7 linked regions of the Mus musculus genome follow. The protein of the gene in region 4 interacts with the protein of the main gene of each other region in a pairwise test. Links are inferred from orthologs where the notes say so. Each region holds a gene or a part of one and is shown on either strand. Other genes may lie near its edges.

Region 1 (3,500 bases), on a different chromosome or scaffold from region 4:
GTTATCCTTTTTGGACATCTATTGACTATGCTCTAATCTTTGATTTAAAAAAAGAAAAAAAGTACACATGCATACATAGTTCTAAGGCTTAAAGAAAAATTAAGAGGCAAAAGCAAAGATGCTAATTTTTTTTCAGTTTACCTAAACCAAATCAAGAAAATTTAGACCAACCCCAAAGAGACCAGCTAAAGCAGCAGACTCTGCATCTCCAATTTATAACTTAAACCAAGGAACTCATGTCAGAAGAATGAAATTGAGTAGAGAACATGAATCCACATGTAATCTTATATCTGAGAAGACTGAGCCTGAAGGATTGTGAAGTCAAGGCCATCCTGAGCTACGGTGTATACAGGTCAAAGACAGTCTGAGCTACACACGGCAAAATGTATCAGAGACAGATGGAGTGATGGAGAGAGGGAAGGAAGGAAGGAAGGAGGAAGAATAGTAACATTACTGACAAATGAGAAAGTGCAAAAACATTTCACTGAGGATTTTTTAACTTATTTAACATTTTCAACTATCTATAACAAGACCAAGAATAAGACACCACACACAATTCCACGAATGCCCTAGACCTAAGGCTCCTTCCCATCCACTCCCTCTCATAACAGCAGCTCCTTAGCATAGGGTAGAGCCAATAAGGTGCCAAGGAAACAGCCAGATGCAGCAGCAGTGAGAACAGGTGATGTGGCCAGAAAGGAAATTCATAATAGCTGCTAAAGAATTTGAAAGTAACTTCCTTTGGGAGGCAGAGGCAGGCGAATTTCTGAGTTCGAGGCCAGACTGGTCTACAGAGTGAGTTCCAGGACAGCCAGGGCAACACAGAGAAACCCTGTCTCGAAAAAACTTTAAAAAAAAAAAAAAAAAAAAAGAAAGTAACTTCCTGTTTAGCAAAAAGCTCTTTATACCCCATTATTTCCAAAGTCACTAATACCCAGCACATAGAACAGTAAATGACAGCCTACATCTCCTGTACAAGAGGAGTATCTATGTAATAGCAGGCTGAGGAGATGGCTCTGTGAGCAAAAGGCTGATCAAGCGTAAGGACTGGAGTTTAGATCCTCACCATCTACGTAAAAGCTGGGCATGGCAGCAAGTTCATCTATAACCACAGTGCTGGGGTAGAGAATCAGGCAGATCCCAAGACACTGGCTTGTCTAGCCCAGGAGTTCTCAACTTTCCTAATGCTGCAGCCCCTTAATACAGTTCTCCATGTGGTAGTAACCCCCAACCAAACTGTAGTTTTGCTACCGTTATGAATCAGAATGTAACCAAAAAAATTAAAATTCAAATTAAAATGCCAGGCAGTGGTGGCGCACGCCTTTAATCCCAGAACTCAGGAGGCAGAGACAGGCGGATTTCTGAGTTCGAGGCCAGCCTGGTCTACAGAGTGATTTCCAGGACAGCCAGGGCTATACAGAGAAACCCTGTCTCAAAAAAAATAAAAATAAAATGAATCAGAATGTAAATATCTGATATGTAGATGGTTTATGGAGATTCCCAATGGGGTCATGACCCACAGGTCTTGAGAACTTCTAGTCTAGCAGAAACAACAAGCTTAAGGTTCAATGAGCAATCTTGTCTCAAAAAATAGGTGAATAGCAATACAAGGAAATATCTAAAGTCAATTTCTGAGTTCTAGACATTCATGGTGAGTGAACCTAAACACACACACACACACACACACACACAGTATTGAAACGTAAGAGGAAATACACTTGTTTTGCTGAAAACTAGCAACACCAGAACACCCTCTTTCCTATACATACGTATATAAGCATTAAAGGTTGAAATAATCCATTTCTGTTTCCTGGAGTTCTAAAATAGCTTCATCTAGAAATGAAGTGGATTTGGAATGTTCACTAACACACCGTCAGGAGGGCTTGTTACCTGGGTAAGAGCAGTTTACGTGGAAAGAGCACGGATGGGGAAATGATGGTGGGAACTAAGCAGTGACATAGGGAAACCAAAGAAACCCCACCGGCTACTGAACCACAAGGTGTGCTAGCTAATGGATGAAGAGAGCACTGAGGACGACTTGATTTACATACACTCCATCTCAACTTGTTCTTGCTTTTCCTGTTGCGCTAGACGAGCTGCAACTTCTTCGGGTGGTCGCTCCCTTACAGAAGATGAGAATGCTTCCTCTTGCAGCAAAAGTGAACAAGAGGAAAGCAAATTTCAACAGATTTTTAACAGCTAACAGGGATACAAAGAAAGCAGTGACATCAACAAAAAGTGGTGAGGATTCTAAACTCATGGATTCCAAAGAAAATAAGGGATTCACTCTTAACATATGGATCAATTTGGACTTAGAAGTTAAAATCTTCCCTAGGCAAGTTTGAAGGCTGGAAACAGTCTAGGTATGTATTTCCAGTTATCTATGGGCTGCCTAGGCAATACAGTTCTGGTGAGCAAAACATCTATAGCATAATATAAATAATTAAACTACCTGTGGTTTCAGACGTAGATTTTCCTTCATTAGTGTTGGGACATTCGGTTTTTATAGTGTCCTCATGCTGAACTGCAGGGGCCGGGACCGAAAGTGTATCACCTGCTGCAGAAATAATTTGAGCTGCCCCTGTAGATGCTATAAATACATGTTATGCATGATATTCATACTGCTGTTACCTGTACGAAGGAAACTACTGCTGAGCTCTTCACTGTACTACTTAAACATATAAATACTTCTACTGCCCTGTGTTTAATAAACAGAAACAGAAAATTGACAAAGGTTGACACAAAGTCTTCTCCATGCCTACAGACACTTTAATTCCTCTTACCTCAAGAAAGGCTTCTAGAAACAGTGCTAACTCTAAGCACAGAAAAGGGAACATCAGTAACATCAAAAAGAACAGCAGAATACAAAGGAGTCTGGGTCAAAGGAGGAGAGAGAGACAAGAAAGCGATTTGGCAGAGGGTCTCTAACCATTCTGAAGAGTAGCAGAGATGAAGGAAGACATGAAAGATGTGGAAAAAGATGACAGTTCCAAACACAGAGAAGAGTGTGTTCACAGTGAAGAAAGAGAGTGTGTCAAGAAAAGAATTCATTAAAAAAAAAAAATCACTTCAGAAACGACAATTTTAAGAAAGATTAATTTATAAACAAAAATGATGGAAGAGGAAAATCAATTTTAGAGATGAAATGGATATGAAAACAGGAAAATCAGACAAATGTTGTTTTAAGAATTAAAGTTCTCATTTAAAAGATATCTCTTAACATATACACAGAATAAAAGGCTGGGTATCAAATAAAGGAAACAAGGATTAAAGTTAACTGCTAATCAAAGTTCAATACTATGGCCACTCAACCACTGAAACCCACAGGGGGAAAACAGATGACTTCCTATGAAGGAAAGCCACTCCTCTAACTTTAAATGCACAGACATTAAGACAATTCCTCCCATTACACCTTCCAAAGAGTGGCTCTAACCAGTACCTGCTGAAGCTGGAGTGTCTCCCTTCGTTTTCTGGCTCTGTGCCACAGGCAGTTTGGAGTC
Region 2 (3,500 bases), on a different chromosome or scaffold from region 4:
TCCAGGCTGCGTACCACCACGGGTGTGGCACTGCCCTCGATATATAGTGGGTACTCCTTGATGCGGTACTGAGAGCTGGGCTGGCTCTGGCTGTGCAGGTACACGCCACCTCCAGTGCTTGCAGCCCCGCTGCGGGCCGCCAGGTTGGGCATGCTGCCAGAGCTGGCTGAGCCCAGGGCGCCTGCTGCCCGCTGCCTCTGCCGCTGTCGCTGCCGCGCCTTGGACGGCGAGTCCTCAGCCAGCGTTGAGTAGTTGGCGTTCATCTGTGCTGGGTAGTAGTGCTCTGAGCTCGAGTGGCTGGTGCAGGACGAGCAGTCGTCCATGGGGTCTGAGCCATTGCTGCTACGAGTCCTCGGGGTGTAGAAGTCGGGGCTTCCGGTGTCGTTCTCCGAGCCCAGGAGCTTGCCCTGGGACTCCAGGCTGGAGCTTCGATGCCTAAAGTGCAGTGCAAGGCTGTGCAGTCTCGTGGGGCTGATGTCCACTGACCTGTTGGGGAGACAGGATTGGTCTTAGAGTCCTGGATCAAAGGGTCCCACAAAAGCCACAGGCCAGGCTCAGGGCCTCTACCAATGGGAGAGCCCAGCAAGGTTGCCCCTGGAAAGCCAGGTTCTTCCCTAGGTACCAGGTGAGGAAGGGAGCTAAGAATCTCTGGAATCCACGTGGCACCTAGGGAGTGGATGAAATGTGTTGACCAATGTCTGAGGGCTTTTGCTTCTTAAGAAAATGATGCTATTGATAGAGAAGCAAATTCCTATGTTCTAAGCATTACACTAACCCCTTTAAAATAGTGATTGTAGGTAATAAAAAACAAAAAAACAAAAACAAAACTAACAACCAAAAGGTCTAACAGAGGTCCTCTCGTGATTGAACCAAAGACTCCTCTGAAATGAAAGCCAACGTACCTAAATGGCTGTTTCTTGTGAGTATTCTAAAATGGAGGGTTGGTGAAACATGGAACCCCTAAACATGAACGATACACTTATCTACCAGTAGTACCAAGACTTTGCCTCCAATCCATCAATATCAACAAGAGGAAGGTGATAGAACCCAGCAATAGGAGGTCTTATGCAAATTCCTAGCGACTCTTGGCCACATCCAGGCAGAAGTGTACTACATCACCCTCACCAGTGACCTTCTGTGATGCAGCTTTACCTCTTAGAGAAGGGATATGATTCAGGGAAGTCTATTTTTCGGTTCATTTCTTTTGGTTACTATAAATGTACACCTTGAGGCATTAAAGTGGGTCCAGAATAGATTTTAGACCTCATGAGAAAGATATATGAGGAACGGAGGGTAGAGCAAAGGTTAGCCTGGGGTGTCTATGGCTGCTGCACTCTCCCACCTTAACTGGGCTAGTTTTCCTGTTTCCACTCCTACTAGGATCCTTGTTACCTGTCTTCAGAAGGCTGGGGCTCTCTGGCCCCACAAGTCCCTGGATATGGATAGAGTTGACTATATTGAGTGTCCAGGGTAAAGTGGACCTTAGCTCCCCTGTTAACTGGGCTAGATTGGAGCCAATGATGTCTTACTACACCAGGGTCTGGCCCAGAAAGGCAGGTGGCCTAAAGGCCCAGCAGACTCACCTTGTGGAATGAACATAGTGGGGACTCCGGACGCGCAGGTCTGGGGTGGATGGCATGCTAGACTGGGAATTCCAATGTGGGAGGCTTCGGATGGGACTGTTCTGCAAGGAGCTGCTTACTCCTGCCTCGGTACAGCTTCCTGTGCTGGGGAAGCGCTTGTGGCTGCTGCAAGCGAGAAGAGGGAAGCCATGCTGATCACACGAATACCATGTGGCAGCGTTGGTAGGGGCTGACTAGCTTGGGACAGTAGATCTAATTGCAGGGAGAGCTTGCCCGGGACTCCAGCTCTCACTATCCCACCTCCCCCCCTCCACTCCTCGAAGTTAAGCACAGGGTGACTATTCTCTGGAGCCTTCATCCTTAACAAGCATTGTTTTACAAGATACAGTACCTGCTAGGGTACCCTCTGGAGCTAATTAAGGAACATGAGGAAAACAGAAGCGGGCCTAAATGTCTTCCAGATAATCCTCTCTACGACGTTGATATTAACCAAGCAATGAGCTGATAATGTGTGCAGCTTGCATTTCAGCTGCTTGGCTCCAGAACTCTGCGGGAAGATCGTATAGGGTTCTATACCACCCTGAGGATCCTCAGATCCGGCTCTCCTTTGCCATTCTGGAATGCTGCTGGCTACAATTTCCTAATTAATTCCTGTGAAATGTAACAGCATTAAATCCATCTGCCAACAGGTTGACTATGAGCCAAACCCTTTCCTCCCCTCTTCCCCCCTCCCTACCTTCAGATGACAAATCTGTACTTCTGGGGGTTTGCCAGCAGAGGGCTTTGTGCGCAAAGCTGAACTGTGAGTTCCAGGAAGGAAAAGAGTATCCTTTGGCAATATTTGTAGGTTCTAATGTGGGGCAAGCCTTTGATTCTGTTTGAGCATATCCGGGGACCTCATTTGGGTGTCCCAATGTAGCTCACCTGGAATGGCCGTGGGAGGAGCGTTTCTTCACCTTCTCATAAGGCTCATCTAAAGATGACTCGCTCCACATTTTGGGCTTTAAGGGTGACTTGTCATAGTCGGTACGGTGATAGTGCAGCTGCCTGAGTCCCTCCAGGGACTGTGGGGGAGGAGGCCTGTTGTGTGATGAAGGTGGCCGAGGAGGGAGTCCCTTGTGTGGCGACTGTAAGGGGGATATTGTGCTGGTAACCTGAGAGTCTTCTGCATGGACAGGAGGAGGAAGAACTCATCAGAGACATTATTTCCACAAGAGATGGAGCCTTTGCCCAAACACACCATGTCAGTGCCTTGGAGCTACACTTCACATATGTGCCAGGGCTCTGTGACCCTCCCACACTGGGGTCAATCCAGGTCAAGGCAGAGCCCAGACTGCAGGCTTAACTGAATGTGAAGGGCACCGCTGTCACGTCTGGTTAAGTGCGAATAAAGTCTGAGTTGGATTTGGTGTCACCAACAAGTGATTGCTTCATATTAATCAGGCAAATGAAGTATTACGTTCTAACTTTTCCTTTTTAAATTTGGTGCTAAGAAATGAGCCCAGGGCCTCAGACATGCTAAGCGAGTGCTCTATCATGGAGCTATGCCATGACGTATGTTTGGAGAGACACTAAACAGATCTCCTTTGCTCTGGGGGGAGGGGAGTTAACCTTCTTGAGGATTTTATCTGCTCTGTTAATCCCTGTGTCCTCAGGGTTAAAATGACAGCTGGCATTCAGTAGGTACTCAATAAATATTTGTTGGAGGAAAAACCTGAATTGGAAGTATATCTGTGAGGTATGATTAAGTGCTGACAGATCCGCCTTCTACCATCCATGCTTCCCTCACAAGCTTCTTAAATTTCCTATAATCTATCCTGGCATATTTAATCTGTGATGTCGGAGTGGAGCCCAGAGCCTCTTGTGAGGCTCTCCACTGAGCTATAGCCTCAGCTCGGCTCAAGGTGTTTTAGAGGA
Region 3 (3,984 bases), on a different chromosome or scaffold from region 4:
TTGCTTGGCACTAAATGTGGGACTCCATGGCAGTGTAAGAGGGCAAGCAGAGAAGGTTGGGTACACATGGGAACCCAGAGACCAGGCTCAATCCAGAGAGCACGCAACTTCATTCTGGTAGACCCAAGAACAATGGCCAAGGTCAGGTAAGGAAACTGCTCAAAGCAGAACAACACTGTGTCTCCAGATGGTACTCACTGTCCACAAAGTCCTTGCACTCCTCCTTGAGCTCCACAGTCTGCTGGGTGACCTCTGGGTCCAACACTCGGAGCTTGTTCAGTTCATCAAAATGCAGCCCTGCCTCGCCCAAGATGTCCTTGGCCATAGCTGCAGAGAAACCAGCAGCGACCTGAATTTCATCCCAGACACCACCCCAGCCCTCCTCATACACCCATCCCTCTGCCTCCAGCTCTCAGCCTCACCTGTTTCCCTTCCAGGAAGCCCTAGAGGTCTGCTTTGAAGGGGTGACAGTGGCAATCAGGAGGTATGTCATAGGAGCAAGGGTCAGGAAAGAGGAAAGTCCAGTTGCTTGTCACAGACATCGTTCATTCAACATACATTTCTTGAGTGCCTACTACATGCCGACACTGCTAGATGCTGGGCGTAAAGATGAATGCAACATGGTGCCTGCCCTGGAGCAGCACAGCTTAGCTGGAGGAAAACAGACACGTGAACCTGAAGGATTATATTGCATCAAGTGATTTTTACAGAAATATCACTAAGCAAGGAGAAAAGACAATTTCAGTTCACTTGGGTGTATCTGGCCTAAGCTGCGAGCGAGATAAAAGCATAGTCATAAATCCCTGTTTAAGGTCCCAAAAAGGCTTTTCAAATGCATGCCCTGAAATGAAAAACAAAACAAAACAAAAAGGATGAATTTTAAAATGAGAGTTAAAAGCTAGCTATGGTCATGCGTGACTCTAATTCTAGCAACTCACTGTGTTGCTAGAAGACTGACACACGTTTAGGACCAACCTGGGCTGCATACTGAGTTCCAGGCTATCCTGTGCTACACAAGCCCTTGTCTCAAAAAAACAAAAAACAAAAAAACAATTGCCTTCCTGTGTTGTTCTAGTTGGATAGTTTGAGTATTTAAGAGCTCCTAGGGACTAACTGGACCAGGTCCTATGGAAGAGTTCATATGACATGAGACTGCAAACACTTGTTTGAACTCCTACTGCCTTCTGAGTTAACATGCATTTATCAAAAACAAAAACCCTTATTGAATCCCAGCTCCAAGGACAGAGTGAACATAGTGTCTCTAGACAGACAGTAAGCAAATAAACACAAACTGTGATCAGGGTATGAGGAACAGCGCTCAGTGCTCTGTCAGGATTCTACAGGAGGACATAACTCAAGTAGGCAGAGAGGTCAACAAAAGCCTTCAGAAAAAACAATCTGGGACCTAAACACGTCCAGAAAATCTTCTAAGAGAAGGGAGAGGGACATTGTGGGCATAGGGAAAAGCATATGGGGGCGTCCTAAGGCTGGAAGATTTTGACACAAAGGGTCCTGGGATCAAAACAGCAAGAGGGAGCAAGGCTGGCAACCGGCTATAGCTGGATGAGTAAATGAACTTGGGTTTTGTTTTGTTTGTCGAGACAGGGTTTCTCTGTGTAGCCCTGGCTGTCCTGGAACTCACTTTTGTAGACCAGGCTGGCCTCGAACTCAGAAATCCACCTGCCTCTGCCTCCCAAGTGCTGGGATTAAAGGCATGCGCCACCACACCCAGCTGAACTTGGATTATTTTTTATAATGATAACCGCTAGCAGTGGATTTCGGCAGTGCTTATTGATCAGAGTTGGAAAGATCACTCACTGCCTTGGCCAAACAGAGGGAACAGGGAAGAGCAGAATAGAGGCGTCCTTTCCAAATTTCTCACTGTGAGCCAAGCATCTCTAAGCAGGCTGCCTGCAGGTAAGTGGCACTCTGATAATGTTTGCAGAATGAATGAATTCATGTGGAAACAGAAGGCTGTAACAGAAGAAAAGATTTGAAGCCGAACGGGAGTTCAGAGATCAGATGATGTCTGAATTGACAGAATTTAGTAATGCTTAATGCAGCACTTTGGAGAAAAGTGAAGAAAGGAGCCAAACACGATTGCCATGGATCTGGATTGGACCGAGAGTATGGCTGGAAAGGACAGTTTAAAGAGATGGGTAAGATAGATATGGTACATAGCGGGCTATCAGATCCCCAGCCCACCCCTAACTCCCACCACAAATATGCTCCAGGAACGTGGGATTGAGTTTCCTAAGCATGAAGGCTGTGCCTGGCTCTACGCTCCCTGGCTCTCCCAGGTCCGCAGGCACAACAAATAGTTGTAGCTGTGGAGTTTGGAGAAGGCGTAGACACAGGAAGAACTGGGCAAATGGCGCGGCTGTCTTTACTAAATTATACTCCTGCAATGTCCGAACCTCGGTTCACCGGTGACATCGAGGGAGCCAGGCTGAGCTGAGTGTAAACCCGATCCCTAAAAACTCCGAGGTAGGGAAACCGCCGCTTTCCACCCGGTCCAGCCAATCCTCGGCGCTGGGTCACGTCGGCCTCCTCCCGTCCCAAGTCCTCCACGTCCCCGACCTACCTGACGAGCCGCCTCGGCAGCGCTCTGCGGCCCTGACGACTGTCGGTAGAAGCTTCTCTCCGGCAACTGCAACCGGCTGCTGCCACGGAGACAAGATCTAGGAGCCACACGTCACCCCCGAGTCCAGAAGCACCAGCATCCGCCCACCCTGCGGTGCTTGCTGGGAAATAGATGCAACACGCGATAACTGCCCACTAGGCCCAGAAGCCTTTGCTCAGGGGGCGGGGACTACGACACGGGAAGTAGATTTGTTCCCGAACCCGGAAGTAGAAGGAAGTCAAACGTCAAGTTTTCGACCCACTGCTAGCTCGCGCGCTGTGCATGCCGGGTCTTGTAGTCTCTTTCCCGATCTGTAGGGTTGGGCTGTAACTCCGGAGTCGGCGGGCGCAGGATGTGAGCTCACAGCCGAGATTGCAGGCAGCCGCAGGCCAGAGGTGGCACCGAGTCCGCTTGCTACTTGACTGAGACTCGGAGAGGCGTCCCCGCGGACGGTGAGAGCCAGAGGTGCGGGTGCAGAGGGGAAGGACAGGCTCTGCTGAGTCCTGGGCAAAAGGCACGGGATGGCGCGCGGGGATGAAGTTCAGGTCTTTTCTGGGGATGGGAGGCACCACGGATCTCAGTTTTTCAGAAGAGGAGGGGTGTGGCGGGAGAGCAGCCTACACTGCAACGAGAGACATGGGATGTTTCTCCATTTCCACTGGAGAGCCTTTGGGTGAAACATAAGAGCCGCTTCCACGATTTCTGACCTTTCTTGCCAAAATCAGCCTTCCCACCTCGCCGTACCTCGTGTCCTTCCTTTAGAACCCCAAGTCTTTGAACTACCGTGATCGTTTGCGCTTTGTTCTGCTTGGCTTCGCATTAGGTTCCCATAGAGACACGTGTATGTTCCCCAGCCCCAGGATTACCCCTCTATCCACAGGCGAAGTCCTGAGGAAAGAGCCCTGAAACTATCAGTGGAAACTTCATCCTCTCAGAAATTTCTTTCTAGGGCGTCACCTGCCATTGGACTCTTGGACCTAATTGGTCTGGGTGGAATCTGGTCTGACGTCATCTAGGACTCAAAGTAGCTCTTAGGAGGAAAAGAATAGATTAGCTCCGGATTTGACTTCCTCAGTTGGCAAGCCTAGTCACTTGGGTTTCTTTGATTTGGCAGAACGTGTTTATGTGCTTCCTTGATTCTGGGGAAATGGGACTGCACACAAAGTATGTGAGGAACTTGCTAAAACTTGTTGAGGAGTTGATTTTTTTCCCGCTTTGAGGTAAGGCGGTCAGTCGCTCACCAGTCTAGCATTGTAGTGTTACTGTCAGACTCCCGGAGCTCGTTTCCTCCATGTTCCATCACTGAAAGCAATTAAGCCATCAAAAGGATATGCTACTTAATATAGCACCAATATAGACCT
Region 4 (3,500 bases):
CCCAGAGGAAAACTTCTTTTCTACTAAAAGGACATAGCATCAAACTACCCACTAAGTCTGTATGTCTGTATGCACAGACGATGGTTAATGTGCAAACTCACAACCAAAGTGTCAACACAAGCTCAGCCACAAGTGGGACATCTACACCGCACCCCTCATCCGCCCTCCAAGGCTTAGGAACATTACGGGAAGAGGAGTGAAGCGGTGGATAATAGGGGGATGGAGAGAAGTGTCAGAATGTCAGTCAACATTCTATCATGAGCTGCCCTCTCTTATGAGCCCTCAACCCCACCCCCACCCCCACCCCCAGTCACATTTTCACCTGCACTATCAGGGAGAGGAATATAGGGAGAAAGAACAAAGGAGAAGTCTTAGACCTCAGCACTGGGTGGGGTGGTGCAAACTTATAGTCCCAACATTCACAAGACAGAAGCAAGAAAATGATCAAAAGGAGATCTCCACAGTGAAGTCTGGGCCAGCCAGAGCCACACAATGGTACCCTGCCGCAAATAACAACAACCACAAAACAAATGTACACCTCTCAGTGCAGCTGGCTATGGACAGTTAACCTTAAAGCCACAGGAAGAATTACATGAATAAAAACCAAAACTGAGTTGGATGTGGCATATGCCTAGAATTCCATTGTTGAGGAAGCTAAGGCAGGAAAATGGAGAGTTTTGGACAGCCTGGGCTACATAACAAATTCTATTCTCATGTTCATGTGTGCATATAAGCATGTATAGACACAGTTTCTTGGAAAGACAAGATACGATGCCACTATGCTTGGAGTCCACTCTGATCTCAGGTTCTATGGCTCCCCCAGGCCCACATGGCAGCAGCAACAGTGTCCCTCCTAGGACCCTGTGGCACAGGATGGCCACTTGCATCTTCAGAGGACACAGAGAGCCCACACACACACCGACAAGAGCACGGTCCATACTCACCGTGCTTCTCCTCATCCTCCAGCTCCCCTGACGGCACCTGAGCGGAAAGGAGAGAGATCAGGGAAGCCTTGTTACTTCAAAATAAATAAATAACAAAAACACAAAGAAACCAGACAGCTCACTGAAAAATTAGAGAAACTGTGTCTACATAAGCTGAAAAGCCAAGTCCTCACTTTTGAACGTGTGCCTAAGAACAGGGCCCTCGGGGAAACTAACCATGTCAATGTCTGCGATTTCTGACAGCTGAGGGGCAGCCTCCACCACAAACTGCTCGTCATCCTCATTGTCAGAGTTCTGGGAGTCGATGATCACACTGGAGACGGTTTTACCACTTCCCGACCTAAGCAGCAAGAGTCATTACATTAGAAGTGACGACCCATCAGCCACCAGTTGTTGTCAGCCCCTTGCATCTGGAAATACCACAGTTCTCAGAAAGGAGCTGAACTGCCATTGCCCCAGACAGGTGAAGGGAACTCTCAGGGAACAGTGGGAACAGGGAGAATATCACCTCCCACACAACAGCCTCCATGTTGCCCAGAGCTCCAGGCCACCCCAGCCCTCTACCCCAGCCTTTCTAGTCCTTTGGCTCTGCCCTGTTTGCTGACGTTGACTCTAAGATAGACCAAGGGTGGCACAAGTGGGCCCTGTGGGTCACGTGACTTGGGACCGACCCCTTTCACAGGGCCACGCCTCTATCCAATACCGCTGCCGTGTTTTCAGCTCGGAGTACCTGTTGTTTAACTCTTGCACAATTACACCTTCAGCTCTCTTCCTTTTTACACTTTGACAGTCTTCTATCTAGAGGTCAGGGAAACACAGCCAGTGCTGGCCCATGCTTTCTGAGGCATCTGATACATGAACACACGTATTTCTCCCTTTTGCCAATCTGGAATGCTTGCTGCTCTGTGGTTTAAGGCAGTGATCTAATCCTCTATTTCTTCAAGGTAAGTTTTTCTTTTTCCTAGTACTGAGTACTACACCCTACCAAGTCTTTCAGCACAGGCCCAGACCTTGGCATCCCACAGTCCAGCACTGGGGAGTGTGGCTTCATTGTGACTAGAACCCCCTGGCCAGGCAGCCTCACCTGTCTACCACCAGTGTCTCTGTGCTCTCTTGTCGTTTGACCCTGGGAGGTGCTGGCCGTGCACTCCCAGGCCGAGGTATTCTTCTAAAAAAATATTGGAAGGAAAAAAAACAGACTGTGAAACACACACAAATCTCAATGTGGACAGGACAAATAGGCAGGCCAGCACTAGTGTTCACTCCCATGCCACGGTCGGCATGACACTCAGACTCTCTGCAGAGGAACACCAGCCCCATTCAATGGGCACAGCTGCCATTCATCAGAGCACCACAGGCCTTCCCATTACTAGGAACTTCTCCAAACTGTACAATGCTCCAACTCAGGTACAAGAAAACTAGACAGGTAGTTTCCGCTTGCTTTGCACAAATAATCCCTTACGCCACAGAACAAGTGTTGACTGGGCAGCGGATGCTATGGCAGGAAGCCCCACACTGTCCTAGGCATGACCACACTCCCAAACCCCAGCGGAGGACACACCTGAGGCTGGAGGGAAGCTCACTGGGAACTTCCGCATTCTCCATCACCTCCGGCTTATCTTGGCCAGCAGGTCCAGCTTCTACTTCTGAACAGGGGACAATCCAATCAGCATTCAAAAAGAACTCAATAGTAACAAAAATAAATTTACTCAAATATAAATATCAACAAATTAAATATAAACATCTGAAAAGGCATCAGTCAAATAATTGAAATGCAAATGAACTCTTTTCACCCATCACTGATGAGGTTAAAACTGACAGACGTCAGACATCTAAATGTGGACATTTGGGGACATGGGCACACTCAAGTTCTGCTAATGCACAGTGGCTGACCAATCAAGGAATAAAGGGTGATGGAGCCAAAAGAACTGAGCCTGAGGAAAAGAACATCGTGCACAGACGGACGGACAGACAGACAGTGTGGCAATCGCTCAGAAGCTCTAGCCCACTCACATGTGCACTCCTCACAGAGCACAGTGACAGATCTCAGTCACTCCCGCGGGGGCCCCAGGAGTGTGTGTGCTTCAGTTATAAAAACAAAGACCATCAAATGCCTTTCACTTTGTCACGCTGGACTCCATTTCTAAAGTATCTACAATTACACTGGGTGCTGTATTCTTTGAACAGTCAGTACATAATTTTCTTTGTATTTTAAGACAAAGTCTTACTAGGTAGCCCTGAATGGCCTGGAGCTCTCTTATGGAGGTCTCCCTGACTCTACCGCCCAAGTGCTGAGATTGGAAGTGGGCAGGATCATCCGGCTAAAACACAGTGTTTTTCATTTTAATAAAAAGGCTAAGACAGCAAGTCACAAATCAAAATTACTAAGACAATAGAATTTATTCTACTATTTAAAACAAAATAAATTTATACTTCATAAAACAGTAAAATTAGAATTTTAACATTAGAAATAAACATTATGCCGGGCGTGGTGGCGCAGGCCTTTAATCCCAGCACTCGGGAGGCAGAGGCAGGCGGATTTCTGAGTTTGAGGCC
Region 5 (4,111 bases), on a different chromosome or scaffold from region 4:
CTCTTAGGGCTGGCATGTTAAGGAGTGAGTCAGACACAAAACTGAAATCTATTCTCCTAGCCAAACATTTATAAAGTCAGATTAAGATAGATATTTACGATCTAATTAAACTTGATGTTGGTTTGCAGTGCCCTCCTGCCGGTTAAAGATTTGAGTCCTTTCATAGGTCAGTACTAGTCATGAGATTGCGGTAATCTTAACTCACTGTGTATGATCGGGTAAGACATAATCTTAAAACTCAAAATATCAAGATATAAGCTACAGGTTGAGATCCTGTCTCAAAAATAAAAGGCACAGGCTTGGTGGTTGTGGCACATGCCTTTAATCCCAGCACTTGGGAGGCTGAGGTAGGTGGATCTCTTAGTTCAAGGTCAGCCTGGTCTACAGATTGAGTTTCAGGACAGTCAAGGATACTCAAGAAACCCAGAGGGGGAATAAAAAGACAGAAAGGAGGGAAAGAAGGAAGAGAGACTGGTAAAAATAAAAAGCAACCTTACCAAAACTGCCATCCATTGGATAGTCAAGAGGTGTCAGTGGTTTTCTTGCTCCGGGTAAAGAGACAGCTGCATTAAAAGCCAGGGCATCTTCACACTCTGTTTCTTTAAGCTCAGCTGGCCTCTTCTGAGTCTCTTCTGCTTCATCCACATGAATGGTGAAGGCAGGCTGTTTACTGACTGCTTTCCATGAAGGACCAGCAGTGACATGCTCATCGTTTATAGGAAGGTCCTTAAGAGGAGCAACCTAAAGAGGAGGAATCTTTTTCAATACAACTTTGCTTCTAGCCCGGTGGGTATCAGCTTTTAATTCCAAATACTCTAAGAAACATATAAGTCCATGAGGCAAAGCCCAGGTAAAGGTGTGTAAACCGATCTGTCACAGCCATTTCTACAAAGGCTATAAATAGAACGGACTGGAATTCCAAACTAATCAAAGACTAAAGTTAGGGCAAAGAACTGATTCACAACTTTAGCCCCAGGGTGGAGCAAAACAGCAAGTCTGGCTAAAATGGCGGAATTTACCACGAAGAATACTTGCTTTATGTCCTTCCCTGAAGTAGTAATCTGGGAAGCAGATGGTGAGGGGGAAGGGATCTACATCCTAATGCAATGCCTGGCTTTAAAAGTGGAGGGAAAGGTACACAGCTGGGGGAAGTCGACACGCGAGTGGCAACGCTTGGTATGACCCCGGGCATTTTTTGGAACGCGGCGCCACTAGTGCCGAAGGGCGGTCTACACGGGTCGGCAGAGCTCGTGGGACTATTTGGTACTAGAAACGCCCGGACCGCGAAGACTGCAGCCTGACTCCCCCTGGAATGCTCAGCGTGCTTTCCGGCCCTCTGGGCTGCTAAACCCAGGACCGCTCCCGCCCGGCCCTCCTCCAGACCCCCGCGCCCTATTACCCGTCGAGTCTTGAGCTTCTGCTGCGGCGCGGGTCCACGCACGTTCCCGGCCTTCAGCACCGCCTGCGCCCGCGGCTGCTGGGCTGGCGCCAGTTTTTCGGGGTTGACATTCTCTTGGTCTTCCTGATGCAGCGAGAGCAGGGCTGAGCCCGCATCGCGACCCGAATGCCTCGAGGTGCCCGGCATCGCGGCTCCGGTCCGGTTCTGTCGGCGGCAGAGCGTGCACAGCGCCCGCCGCTCCGGAGCAGCGCGGGACCCTGGCGGCCGACCCGCGGAGCAGAGGCTGCAGGCGGGAGGAGCGTAGAGCCCAGGAGCCGCGAGCTGCGCGCCGCCCGCCGGCTGCTGGTCTTGTAGTTCAAGTAGCCCGCGACTATTGAAATAAACCAATGAGGGCGTCCGGAGTCCGTGACGTCACCAGAAGCGCCGGTCGCCGCGAGCGAAGGCCCGACGGGAATCTTACAGGGCGGGAGCCTGAGGACGCGCCTGCGCAGAGGAGGGCGGGGCGGGCGGCCGCTTTCGGCCGATCTCTGCTGCTCAGTGGATCTGTAGCCTCATAGGATCCTGCCGGAGCCGCTGGGCGGTCCAGACAAGCCCTCGGGGCCTCGAGGTGTCGGCCTTCGCCTCAGCTAAGGGGTGAAGCGCCTTCTCCTGGTCGCTGGGTGGCGCCTAGGCAGGAGCGTATGGATCTGAATGACAAACTGCCCCGTCCTGGGTACACTACTCCTTTCTCTTTCTCTGTGATGCTGCCATACAACATAGGGAAACGCTGGAACTTTTACTGTTTACTATTGTTTCACCTCTCCTGTATATCATTTGTTTGTTGTTTGATTTTGAGGCAGGGTCTCATAATGCTGTCCCAATTGTCCTGTGACTCACTGATATCCGTTATCAGAGCTCACTGATCTGGGATTAAAGGCGTGTCTCTATGCCCCGCATTCCAGTAAACTACCCCACCCCCACCCCCAATTAAAGATGGGTTAATTTAAAATGCCAACATGAGCTATTGTTGATAACAAGTGGTGTACTACAAGAAATTCAGCTGTCCATTAATTTTGCTAATCCTTGGTTGTGACATCAGACCATGAAGTTCCACTGACCCAAATAGATATTACATTTAGAAATGAAGTGCATTGTGGTACATACCTTTAATCCCAGAGTTTCAGATCTCTGAATTCAAGTTAGTCCAAGTCAGCTATGTAGTGAGATGATGTCTCAAAAGTAGAAAAAAAGTGTTCATAAGAAAACCGGGCAGCCAGGAGGCGATGGCCAAGCCTTTTCCGGGCATCTCAGGAGGCAGAGGCAGGTGGATCTCTTGAGTGCAAGGCCAGCCTGGACTGCAGAGTTAGTTCCAGGTCAGCTACACAAAGAAATCCTGTCTTGAGAAACCCTGTCTCGAAAAACAAAACAAAACAAAAACCACAAAAAAAAAAAAAAAAACCAACCCAAACACACACACACAGAGAAATATATACAAAACCTAAATAAATATATAAAGACACAAGTATATTACCTTAAATGTTCACATTTAATAGTTAAGAATCATACATAAAATATAATAAAATGTAATCATTGTTTTCATAACTACCCTTTGAAAACAAAAGACAGCTTATTTGCTCTTATTTAATAGTATTCTAAAACTTTCAATGCAATATTCCCCTGAAATGAATGACTAAAAGATCTTCTTTTCCCCTCAAGTACACAATAAAAAGGACTTTCATGGGTACTCGTAGGGGGATGCTTAGAGGCCGTCACTCTTCTGATTACATGTGGGACGTCCATCTGAGGTGCCTCGGGTCTGATCAGGCTCTGCTTGCTTCTTCGGCTGTCCTGTTGGCCTACCTTGTTTATCTTTCATGCTGCATCGAAGAAAGAAATCAGTGTGTTCTGGTCGTAGCTGTCGAGAATCTCCAGGAGCATGGGTACTTTGGTTTTTACATTAGTGCCTTTGAACTTAAATTTATCTATAAAAAGATCAGTAATCATACCTACGAAGAAAAATATTATTTCTTGTTATTGATTAGTTCTTTTAACAATGCATGTGGCATTCTCTCACCACCTGAGACTCCATTATTCAACACATACAAGCCTGGAAGAGGTTGGTGTTTTTAAAAACAGATGTGTATGTGGAGAAGGTTTGAAGCAACTTTCAAGACATAAATATTTGATAACCTTCTAACAATGGGTTGCAACTGCTGACCTAGACAAGCCACTGGTCGCGATTCTGAATCTGTGTCGGTGCACCCTGCATCCCAGCGACTGACTGCTGCTGCATCAGGAAGAACGTCTGAACTGAAGCACTTCACCCATGGGCTTACTGGGTGCAGAGGTCTGGGAAATTACTGCACCTTTGAGTTTTCAAGATGTAACACAGAGACAACTCAAGTTGTCTATTATTTATACAAGACCCTTGAAAAAAAGTATATTTTAGGAAGAGAAAAAGAATATACCATTGATACTTTTTATATTGGTCCAATGAGACTGAGTGCTGATATCTGCTAACAAAATGGCAATGCTTTTACAATAAACAGGTGAATACTTGCACTCAGTGGGATTTAAAAAAAAAATAGAAAAAGCTTCGTGTCAGTTTAAATCAGGTTTTATCATGAAGTCAATCAGATTAAGACAATTTGCTGGTAAATGATTTACAAAGGTAAACTTTGGTTTTCAAAGCTGCTTCCTAGATTTTGGAATCACAGATGAGAGACGGTAGAT
Region 6 (3,500 bases), on a different chromosome or scaffold from region 4:
TTTTTACTGACCGTACTGTTGTTTCTAGCTAGAGACACCGAGAGTCTTTGGCAGCATATGTCAATCCAGGAGTAGTGCAGACATCACCTTTACACGAGGTGGCTTAGACATCTCTGTGTATCTAAGGCTATTTTAAGGCTATTTTAGGGTAAAGGCACAAGGTAGTAGACCGATGGACAGCAGCCCTTGCCTTTAACAAAAATTTTAATGTATGACAGTGACCCCTAGTGGTAGAAATGAGTACTGTGATTACCACCAGCACCTAAGGGAAGGCTTGGGGCCATGGGAGGTCAGGGTTGGCTATGAATGAGATTTGGGCTTTTTAGCAAATGTTTCTGTTTGGTTTTGATACAGGGTCTCATGAATCCAGGACTCCTTTGAACTCATGATCTCCCTGCCTCTGCCTCGTGCAGCCATACAGGGCCAAGCAGGAGTTGGAAGATTTTGGCTCAGTCACTAAGTGCTTACTGAACAGACATGAGGACTATGTTTGGATCCCCAGTACCCCAGGGGACAGAAATGGGCAGATATGGGGGGTGGGGTGGGACAGAGGGAGGGTGGGGAGGTGACTGACCAGCCAGTCTACCCCAAAACAGCAAGCTCCAGGTTCTGTGAGAGACCTCAAAAAGTAAGATGGAAAGTGAGAGAGGAAGACACCCACACCAAGGCTGGCCTGTGGATGTGAGCGCGCACACACACACACACACAAATGAAGACACCCACACCTACTAACCTTGGCCTCCTGATGTGGGTACACTCATGCACACACAACACACACATACAGACACATACAAACATATACACATACACATGAACAGGAGAAGCAGCCATGGCCAGACAGGAGGAGGCTGGGGCTAGGGAGGGAAGTGGCCTGCAGCTACCTGAAAGTGCAGATATGTGGCCAGGGTTGGGAGTTAGCTGGCTGCTGTCTCTTGGTGGAGAGGGAAAAGCTTGGCCTGGTCCTCAGCCTCATAGCCACACGGCAGGTCACTCCTGGAGGAAGAAACAGCCTGTCAACAGCTCTGCCCCCACTGCGGCCAGCACTCTGACAGCGTGCCTGAGATACTGAAGGGCGGGTGAGGGCAGGAAGGATGCAGGCTTCCTAAGGAACCTCAGGCCTTGCCCAAGGTCGGAACGTTCCCTGAGGTACGGAGAAAGTACCCATGGGAGTGCCTGGATCTCCTGCCTCATTTCTTCCCTCCTCCCCAGAGCTCCAGGGAAGTCCTCTTAGAGAAGTGTTATTCGATTTTTTTGGGTCCCGCCCAGAGACCCCAAGTCTGAGTACCTGTTGTCGTTGATATCTGTGGCATTTCCTGAAGGGATGAGAACACAGGGTTAGAAAAAAGCTGGCGTGAGGAACAGTCTTCACAACCCCTCCCATCCTGAAGCCCATGCCTCTGAACTGGTAAACTGAGGCACTCTACCCTCACCACTCCAGAAAATAGTGGGTTTGGCTGGAGACCTAAGCAAGCCCTTAGGAGAAAGCTGGTCCACATGAATCGTACCCAACCCCGGTACAACCCCTCCCTCCCCAGCTGTACCAGGAATGGGATGCAGGGCAGAAACCACACTAGGCACAGGCTGTTCCACGAGCTCTCCCTGACAGTATCGTTTTGTTTGACCCTCCAGTGAGAGGAAGGTTCTGTTCGTGTCTGTTGTAAACACCTCTCATCTTCCCTGGGAATCCTGCGTCTTCATCACTTACCATTGTCCATGTTGGCCTTCTGGTAGGAAGCCAAGGGGGCAACAGATGTGGCTCCGCTGCTGGCAAAGCTGGAAGGAGCAGAATACAGATGCAGCCCACCATTCTGAGAGCCACTATGCCCACCTTCCTCCCGGTCACTCACCCTTTCTATGCCTGCAACAGAGGCCACCAATCATGGCGACAAGGAGAAAGCACCCACCTCCTAACCACGACCCAGAAGACCGCGAAAAGGGTTAGAAACCACGGGACTCAGGAAATGCATTTTTAAAGGAACCAAGAGCTGACACCACCCTAATGCCTTCAGAGGGCCCAGATGGCCTTGGGCTGGAACTGCGGCCACACCCACGTCACTCACTACATATCTGAAGTGGAGCTAGGCGCAGCCTGCAGGTGCAGGTTCTGGTAGTTCTGGAAGAGGTTGTTGGTGTAGCTGATACACTCGGGGCTCCGGGTGCCGTAGGGGTTGGTGGGTGAGGAGGCAGGATAGTGGCCAGGCCTCACAGGCTTAGCTACAGAACAGAAGAAACAACCGTGAGAAAGCTATCATCGGTTACCCGAGTCTACCTGGCCCCAAGGTCAACCCCAGCAAACCACAAACTGACAGCGTCATCCTCTGGTGGAAAGGCTGGGGACTAAAAGCAAGCGTTGAGTGGTCTGGCACTTAGGGACTGGCTGCGTTTGCCTCAGGTGGCGATGCGGTCTCACCAGCTGACATCCACTCACCGATCTGGGCAGAATGGCCCCGCTTGCCGGAGCTCTTGTACCGCACGGCTTCTTTGATGCGGTCCACCTCCTGCTGGTATCTACGCTTGTCCTTCATAGCGCCCTCCTTGGCCTCCTTCAGTGCACCCTCCAGGGCCTTAACTCTCTCAGCCGTAGCCCGAAGTCGTTTTTCCAATTTAGGAAGCTCACAACGCAGATCTGCATTGTCACGTACCAGCTGCGGAGTGAGCCGCACGGGAGAGCCCAGAAGAAAAGCCGGTGACCCAAAATAGTCACCCAGAGGAGCGTGGGGGTTGGGAGAAGAGAGAATAAAGGACAATCAAGGCCCTGTCAAGGGACCTCCTTGCTCTAGCAGTGTGTGGCTCTAGCCGGTTCTTCCATCTCCCTGTTTTCTTTTTTCCTTTTTTTTTTTTTTTTTTTTTTTTTTGGTTTTTCGAGACAGGATTTCTCTGTGTATCCCTGGCTGTCCCGAGCGCTGGGATTAAAGGTGTGTGCCACAATGCCCGGCATCTCCCTGTCTTCTAAGTGGCAAAACCTGCAGCTCTGCTATGGCCCTGTCCACGCGCCATCCATCTGGACACTCCCGTCCGTCCACTGTACGCCACAGCCCATGCCCGACCCACAGCTCCAGGGCCCCATGGGGATGAGATGGCTGAGTGAGCGTGCCAAGGCAGGACAGCAGGAGCACATGACAGAGGGTGGACACAGGCTGAGAAGGGCGCGGCAGGTGAGAGCCTGGCAAAGTAGAAGCTAGGCTCTGTAGAAGCCAGGCTCTGGGACCCATGCAGCCACACACACAGAGCCTCGCAGGAAGGAAAGGAAGTCCTGAGATTGCACAAACGTTTGTGCTCACTGCCTTTCCCCAGGGACCCCCTGGGCTGTCTTCCCCTACCCTGTTAAAATTATGCCAGAGTGTGATGGTAACCACTCCGCAGTGAAAAGGCCATTGGATCATTTTGCAGTGTCTATACATTGATGGACACTTGAAACTACTCAGGTGCAAGGCCTTGGGAGCTGGGAGGGAGGGAAGAAGGCAGGCAGGTCAGCACAGCAGAGAGCATGATGGGAAAGG
Region 7 (3,500 bases), on a different chromosome or scaffold from region 4:
ATATAGATGTAACCATGCTGGTTAAATTCTATTTGTCCTTCCAGATCATTGTTTCTTTTTTCAGAAGGCTGATAGGGAACCATCAACTGTATGGGTTCAGGTTTCAGTTATGGTTGCAGGGCAAGAAATGAATAGAATAGAGATACTTACAGCATTCTAAATCATATAGCATTCTTCCATGCTAAGGCTAAGAAAGGTATAGATCCCCCAAACTAGTACTACCAGAGTTCTAAATTAGTCTACCTCCCGAAACCATAACCAAAATGTTAAGTATGTTATGAAACCTAGACTATATTAATTTTTTTTTTTTGGTCTGGGCCTAGCAAGGAAAGCAACTTGGTACACCTTTGACCAAATTAAAAAATAAAAATAAAAAAAATCAGTCCTCTTCCAAATGGATAGGTCATCTGTTAGAATGAGTTGTGCAGCTTCAAGAAAGACATACTTTGAACGGTGAGGGAGAAACAGAGAATAGGCACAAGCTTATTTAGTAAGATCAGTCAAATCAGCCATGGTGATTAACAGGATAACAGATCTCTAAGCAATATTGCACCACATCCTAAAACTGATTTTAAAGAAAGGGTCTCACCGTGTAACTCTGGTCAGCCTAGAACTCAATATGTAGACCAGGCTGGCCTTGAATTCTGCCTCTGCCTCCCAAGGACTGGGATTAAAGCATGCATCACCATGGCCTGCCTGTCTCCCTCCAACCCCCTCTTTTGAAAAAACTTTTCTTGTATAGTGCCAAGCGCCGACCTAGCACTTGGAAGACCGAAGAGGATCAGAAGTGCAAGGTCAACCTTAGCTACAGCTGGCTTAAGGCTAATCAGAGCTCATATAGACCCTGGCTCTTAGGACTTTTCTGAGTAAAACGTAAATCTACTTACCAATCTTCCATATATTCCTGGGATCCTGCCTGATTTTTTTTCTTGAATTATTGCATCAAGTACTTTCCCCCTACTTCGATTCATTGCTAAGGAACTCTTTGCTTCTTCAACTTTTTGGAAAAGATCATGAACCAAACTTTTTAAGTTTATTTCTTCTTGTGTCAGTTTCTGAAGTTCTTTTTCTTTCTAAAAGTGAGAAGATGAAACGTACAAGCATTTGATCTTTACTACACTACAGAGCAGCAGAAAACTATTTATACTGTTTCAACAATAATAAGTGAGGCCCCTAAGTAACACTGAGCTTCCATAGTGCTATTTTGGCCTGGCTTTAAACATTCGGATGAGTGTCTCCTATTTTAAAAGAAGCATAAATTATTTGGCTCAAAAAGAGGAAACCCAGATCTCTTTAAGTATAGGGATATAAAAACCCTAGTAGATTTTTCTCAAGTTCTGCCCTAAACAAAACCAAATCCAGGAAATGGATTCCAGGGTAAGTGTAGCTGGGCAGTTCTGTGGTTGTTGTCTTTTTGGCTAAGTAAACAACAAAACAAAAAGGTATAGTTCCTAAACAGAGATGGAAAAGATGGCGGAAATGGCTGTCAACCAGAAGAATCATACACCCAAATTTAGTTTCGCAATTCCCAATTTAGAAACAGCCATCTTTCTCTAACTGTTATTCTCCTCTATTACTTATGACCCAGTCAGAGTAAAAGCTTAAAGTATAAAAAACAATCCCAAAAGAAAACAAATCACTAGAAATAATTACTGGATATAATTTAATTTACATTTAAATTTTACACATCAGGAAACTGCCTGATGATCAAACAGTATAAATTTACTAAAATTTAAAAATATTTATTTTTAAACTATATATACCTCTGTGTGTGTGTGTGTGTGTGTGTGTGTGTGTGTGTGTGTGTGTGTGTGTAGGTGTAGGTGTAGGTTTCCCTGGAGTCCAGAAGAGAGTATCAGAAACCCTGGAGCTGAAGTCACAGGTAGTTATGAACCACCCAATGCGCGTGCTGGGAACTAGTAAGAGTAGCAAATGCTTGTATCTGCTAAGCCACCTCTCCAGTTCCTCAAATAACCAGGTGGCGGGAGGTGGTGGGGATGTCTAACTAAGAAATTTTAAAAACTTTGTTACTTTTCATGTATGTTTATATAAGTTACCCACATTTATCTATTTAGAGAAACATTTTTTTGGGAGGGAGAAAATAGGCTAGTGTGGAATCTACTATGTTGCTAAAACTGGTCTCTCTCTTTTTTTTAAAGATTTATTTATTATATGTAAGTATACTGTAGTTATCTTCAAATAACTAGAAGAGGGCATCTGATCTCATTACAGACGGTTGTGAGCTACCATGTGGTTGCTGGGATTTGAACTCAGGACCTTCAGAAGAGCAGTCAGTGCTCTTAACCGCTGAGCCATCTCTCCAGCCCCACTAACACTGGTCTTAAAAGTGATCTCCTGCTTCAACCTCTCAAATGCTAAGATTATAGGCACACTGACATTCCTGGCTAGGGATAGGTAAGCACTCTACCAACTGAGCTTCATATCCAGCCTGAGAAATGTTTAATTATTCCTATGGGACTGTGGCAGTGGTTATTTGTGTTTGGAGACAATAGTGACTCTACTCCCATTCTTTCTTTTTTGGGATGTATTAGGGATGGAACCCAGGCCTTGTACATGCTATAGAACCTCCCTACCCACATTTATAAGTCCAGCTAATTATTACTAAATTCAAATATTAAAATGTTTCCTCATTCAAGAGTATATTAAGAAAATTTTTTTATAACAACCACTTTAAACTTGGACATTAAAAACAAAACAAACAACTCCCACATATAACTCTAGAGATGACGATGCAGATGAAATACAGAAGTAATTTACCTCCTTTAGTTCCTGTTGCGTCTGAGGGAGCTTTGTGTTTATATCCTTGATTGCAGCTTTCCTCTCCTTGAGAGTCTCAGAAGCTGTAATTAAGGCTTCCTTCGCCTTACTTAATTGAGACACTGCTGTATTATGTCGACTGAGATAGATATCAAGTTCTGACTGAGCAACTTCCATCTTTGAACGTGCTTCATTTACTGATTTGTTAAAACCCATAAGTTCCTTTTCTTGAATCTATTAAAATATGAGTTCATTAGAAGTGAAATATATTTTCAAGTTTAGATTGAAACTGTATTTCTTGAGTCAATTAAGAAAGGAAGGTCTACAGAGTACTATTAAAAAATAATTTGAATAAGTGGAGTAGATTAAAGTAGCCCATGTCTAGTTTTCCATTTACACTATTCATTGTCTCTTCCTAACTGATGTCCTATGAGTTTTGTGAAGCTGGCATAGCATGCTCATTTCTGAAATAAAAATGTAATAATTAAGGAAACACTGGACTTACACCTAGATTTCATACTGTTTCTACATTACCAGGTATAAGAACTATTCACAAAATTTTTTCAAATGTATTTGTTGAAAAATATGCATCATGGGAAGATTTCATTTCAATTTCATTGATAGTTTTATCATTAACAAGGGGTAAAGATACATAGAAAAACCCCAATGTAAATCAAACGACAAACCAAATGTACAGAATTGCTATATGCTCAAGTATTGAC

The links.
Region 1: the proteins of Traf3ip1 (region 4) and Immt interact in a two-hybrid assay, tested with the Homo sapiens proteins (2 studies listed by BioGRID and IntAct). The link is inferred for Mus musculus from reciprocal best matches to the Homo sapiens genes TRAF3IP1 and IMMT.
Region 2: the proteins of Traf3ip1 (region 4) and Frmd4a interact in a two-hybrid assay, tested with the Homo sapiens proteins (2 studies listed by BioGRID and IntAct). The link is inferred for Mus musculus from reciprocal best matches to the Homo sapiens genes TRAF3IP1 and FRMD4A.
Region 3: the proteins of Traf3ip1 (region 4) and Ift20 interact in a two-hybrid assay, tested with the Homo sapiens proteins (2 studies listed by IntAct). The link is inferred for Mus musculus from reciprocal best matches to the Homo sapiens genes TRAF3IP1 and IFT20.
Region 5: the proteins of Traf3ip1 (region 4) and Ccna2 interact in a two-hybrid assay, tested with the Homo sapiens proteins (2 studies listed by BioGRID and IntAct). The link is inferred for Mus musculus from reciprocal best matches to the Homo sapiens genes TRAF3IP1 and CCNA2.
Region 6: the proteins of Traf3ip1 (region 4) and Kif5a interact in a two-hybrid assay, tested with the Homo sapiens proteins (2 studies listed by IntAct). The link is inferred for Mus musculus from reciprocal best matches to the Homo sapiens genes TRAF3IP1 and KIF5A.
Region 7: the proteins of Traf3ip1 (region 4) and Smc4 interact in a two-hybrid assay, tested with the Homo sapiens proteins (2 studies listed by BioGRID and IntAct). The link is inferred for Mus musculus from reciprocal best matches to the Homo sapiens genes TRAF3IP1 and SMC4.

What each region holds. Positions count from the first base shown.
Region 1 is NC_000072.6:71,851,820-71,855,319, reverse strand, and holds part of Immt (MICOS complex subunit Mic60), read right to left. Parts: coding exon 3,440-3,500; intron 2,591-3,439; coding exon of another isoform or gene 2,558-2,590; coding exon 2,453-2,557; intron 2,148-2,452; coding exon 2,052-2,147; intron 1-2,051. UniProt on the Homo sapiens protein: Component of the MICOS complex, a large protein complex of the mitochondrial inner membrane that plays crucial roles in the maintenance of crista junctions, inner membrane architecture, and formation of contact sites to the outer membrane.
Region 2 is NC_000068.7:4,600,363-4,603,862, reverse strand, and holds part of Frmd4a (FERM domain-containing protein 4A), read right to left. Parts: intron 2,749-3,500; coding exon 2,508-2,748; intron 1,749-2,507; coding exon 1,584-1,748; intron 487-1,583; coding exon 1-486. UniProt on the Homo sapiens protein: Scaffolding protein that regulates epithelial cell polarity by connecting ARF6 activation with the PAR3 complex. Plays a redundant role with FRMD4B in epithelial polarization. May regulate MAPT secretion by activating ARF6-signaling.
Region 3 is NC_000077.6:78,535,177-78,539,160, reverse strand, and holds the start of Ift20 (intraflagellar transport protein 20 homolog), read right to left. Parts: upstream 2,801-3,984; 5' UTR 2,585-2,800; intron 652-2,584; 5' UTR 423-651; intron 328-422; 5' UTR 326-327; coding exon 199-325; intron 1-198. UniProt on the Homo sapiens protein: Part of intraflagellar transport (IFT) particles involved in ciliary process assembly. May play a role in the trafficking of ciliary membrane proteins from the Golgi complex to the cilium.
Region 4 is NC_000067.6:91,518,668-91,522,167, reverse strand, and holds part of Traf3ip1 (TRAF3-interacting protein 1), read right to left. Parts: intron 2,591-3,500; coding exon 2,506-2,590; intron 2,113-2,505; coding exon 2,029-2,112; intron 1,285-2,028; coding exon 1,161-1,284; intron 982-1,160; coding exon 945-981; intron 1-944.
Region 5 is NC_000069.6:36,570,239-36,574,349, forward strand, and holds the start of Ccna2 (cyclin-A2), read right to left. Parts: upstream 2,801-4,111; 5' UTR 2,543-2,800; intron 2,066-2,542; 5' UTR 1,586-2,065; coding exon 1,400-1,585; intron 742-1,399; coding exon 498-741; intron 1-497. Other genes in the region: Bbs7 (Bardet-Biedl syndrome 7 protein homolog), read right to left, coding at 3,251-3,384. UniProt on the Homo sapiens protein: Cyclin which controls both the G1/S and the G2/M transition phases of the cell cycle. Functions through the formation of specific serine/threonine protein kinase holoenzyme complexes with the cyclin-dependent protein kinases CDK1 or CDK2.
Region 6 is NC_000076.6:127,228,864-127,232,363, forward strand, and holds part of Kif5a (kinesin heavy chain), read right to left. Parts: intron 2,646-3,500; coding exon 2,429-2,645; intron 2,215-2,428; coding exon 2,061-2,214; intron 1,774-2,060; coding exon 1,706-1,773; intron 1,314-1,705; coding exon 1,286-1,313; intron 994-1,285; coding exon 915-993; 3' UTR 882-914; exon of another isoform or gene 187-881; intron 1-186. UniProt on the Homo sapiens protein: Microtubule-dependent motor required for slow axonal transport of neurofilament proteins (NFH, NFM and NFL). Can induce formation of neurite-like membrane protrusions in non-neuronal cells in a ZFYVE27-dependent manner.
Region 7 is NC_000069.6:69,021,738-69,025,237, reverse strand, and holds part of Smc4 (structural maintenance of chromosomes protein 4), read right to left. Parts: intron 3,013-3,500; coding exon 2,779-3,012; intron 1,074-2,778; coding exon 888-1,073; intron 1-887. UniProt on the Homo sapiens protein: Central component of the condensin complex, a complex required for conversion of interphase chromatin into mitotic-like condense chromosomes.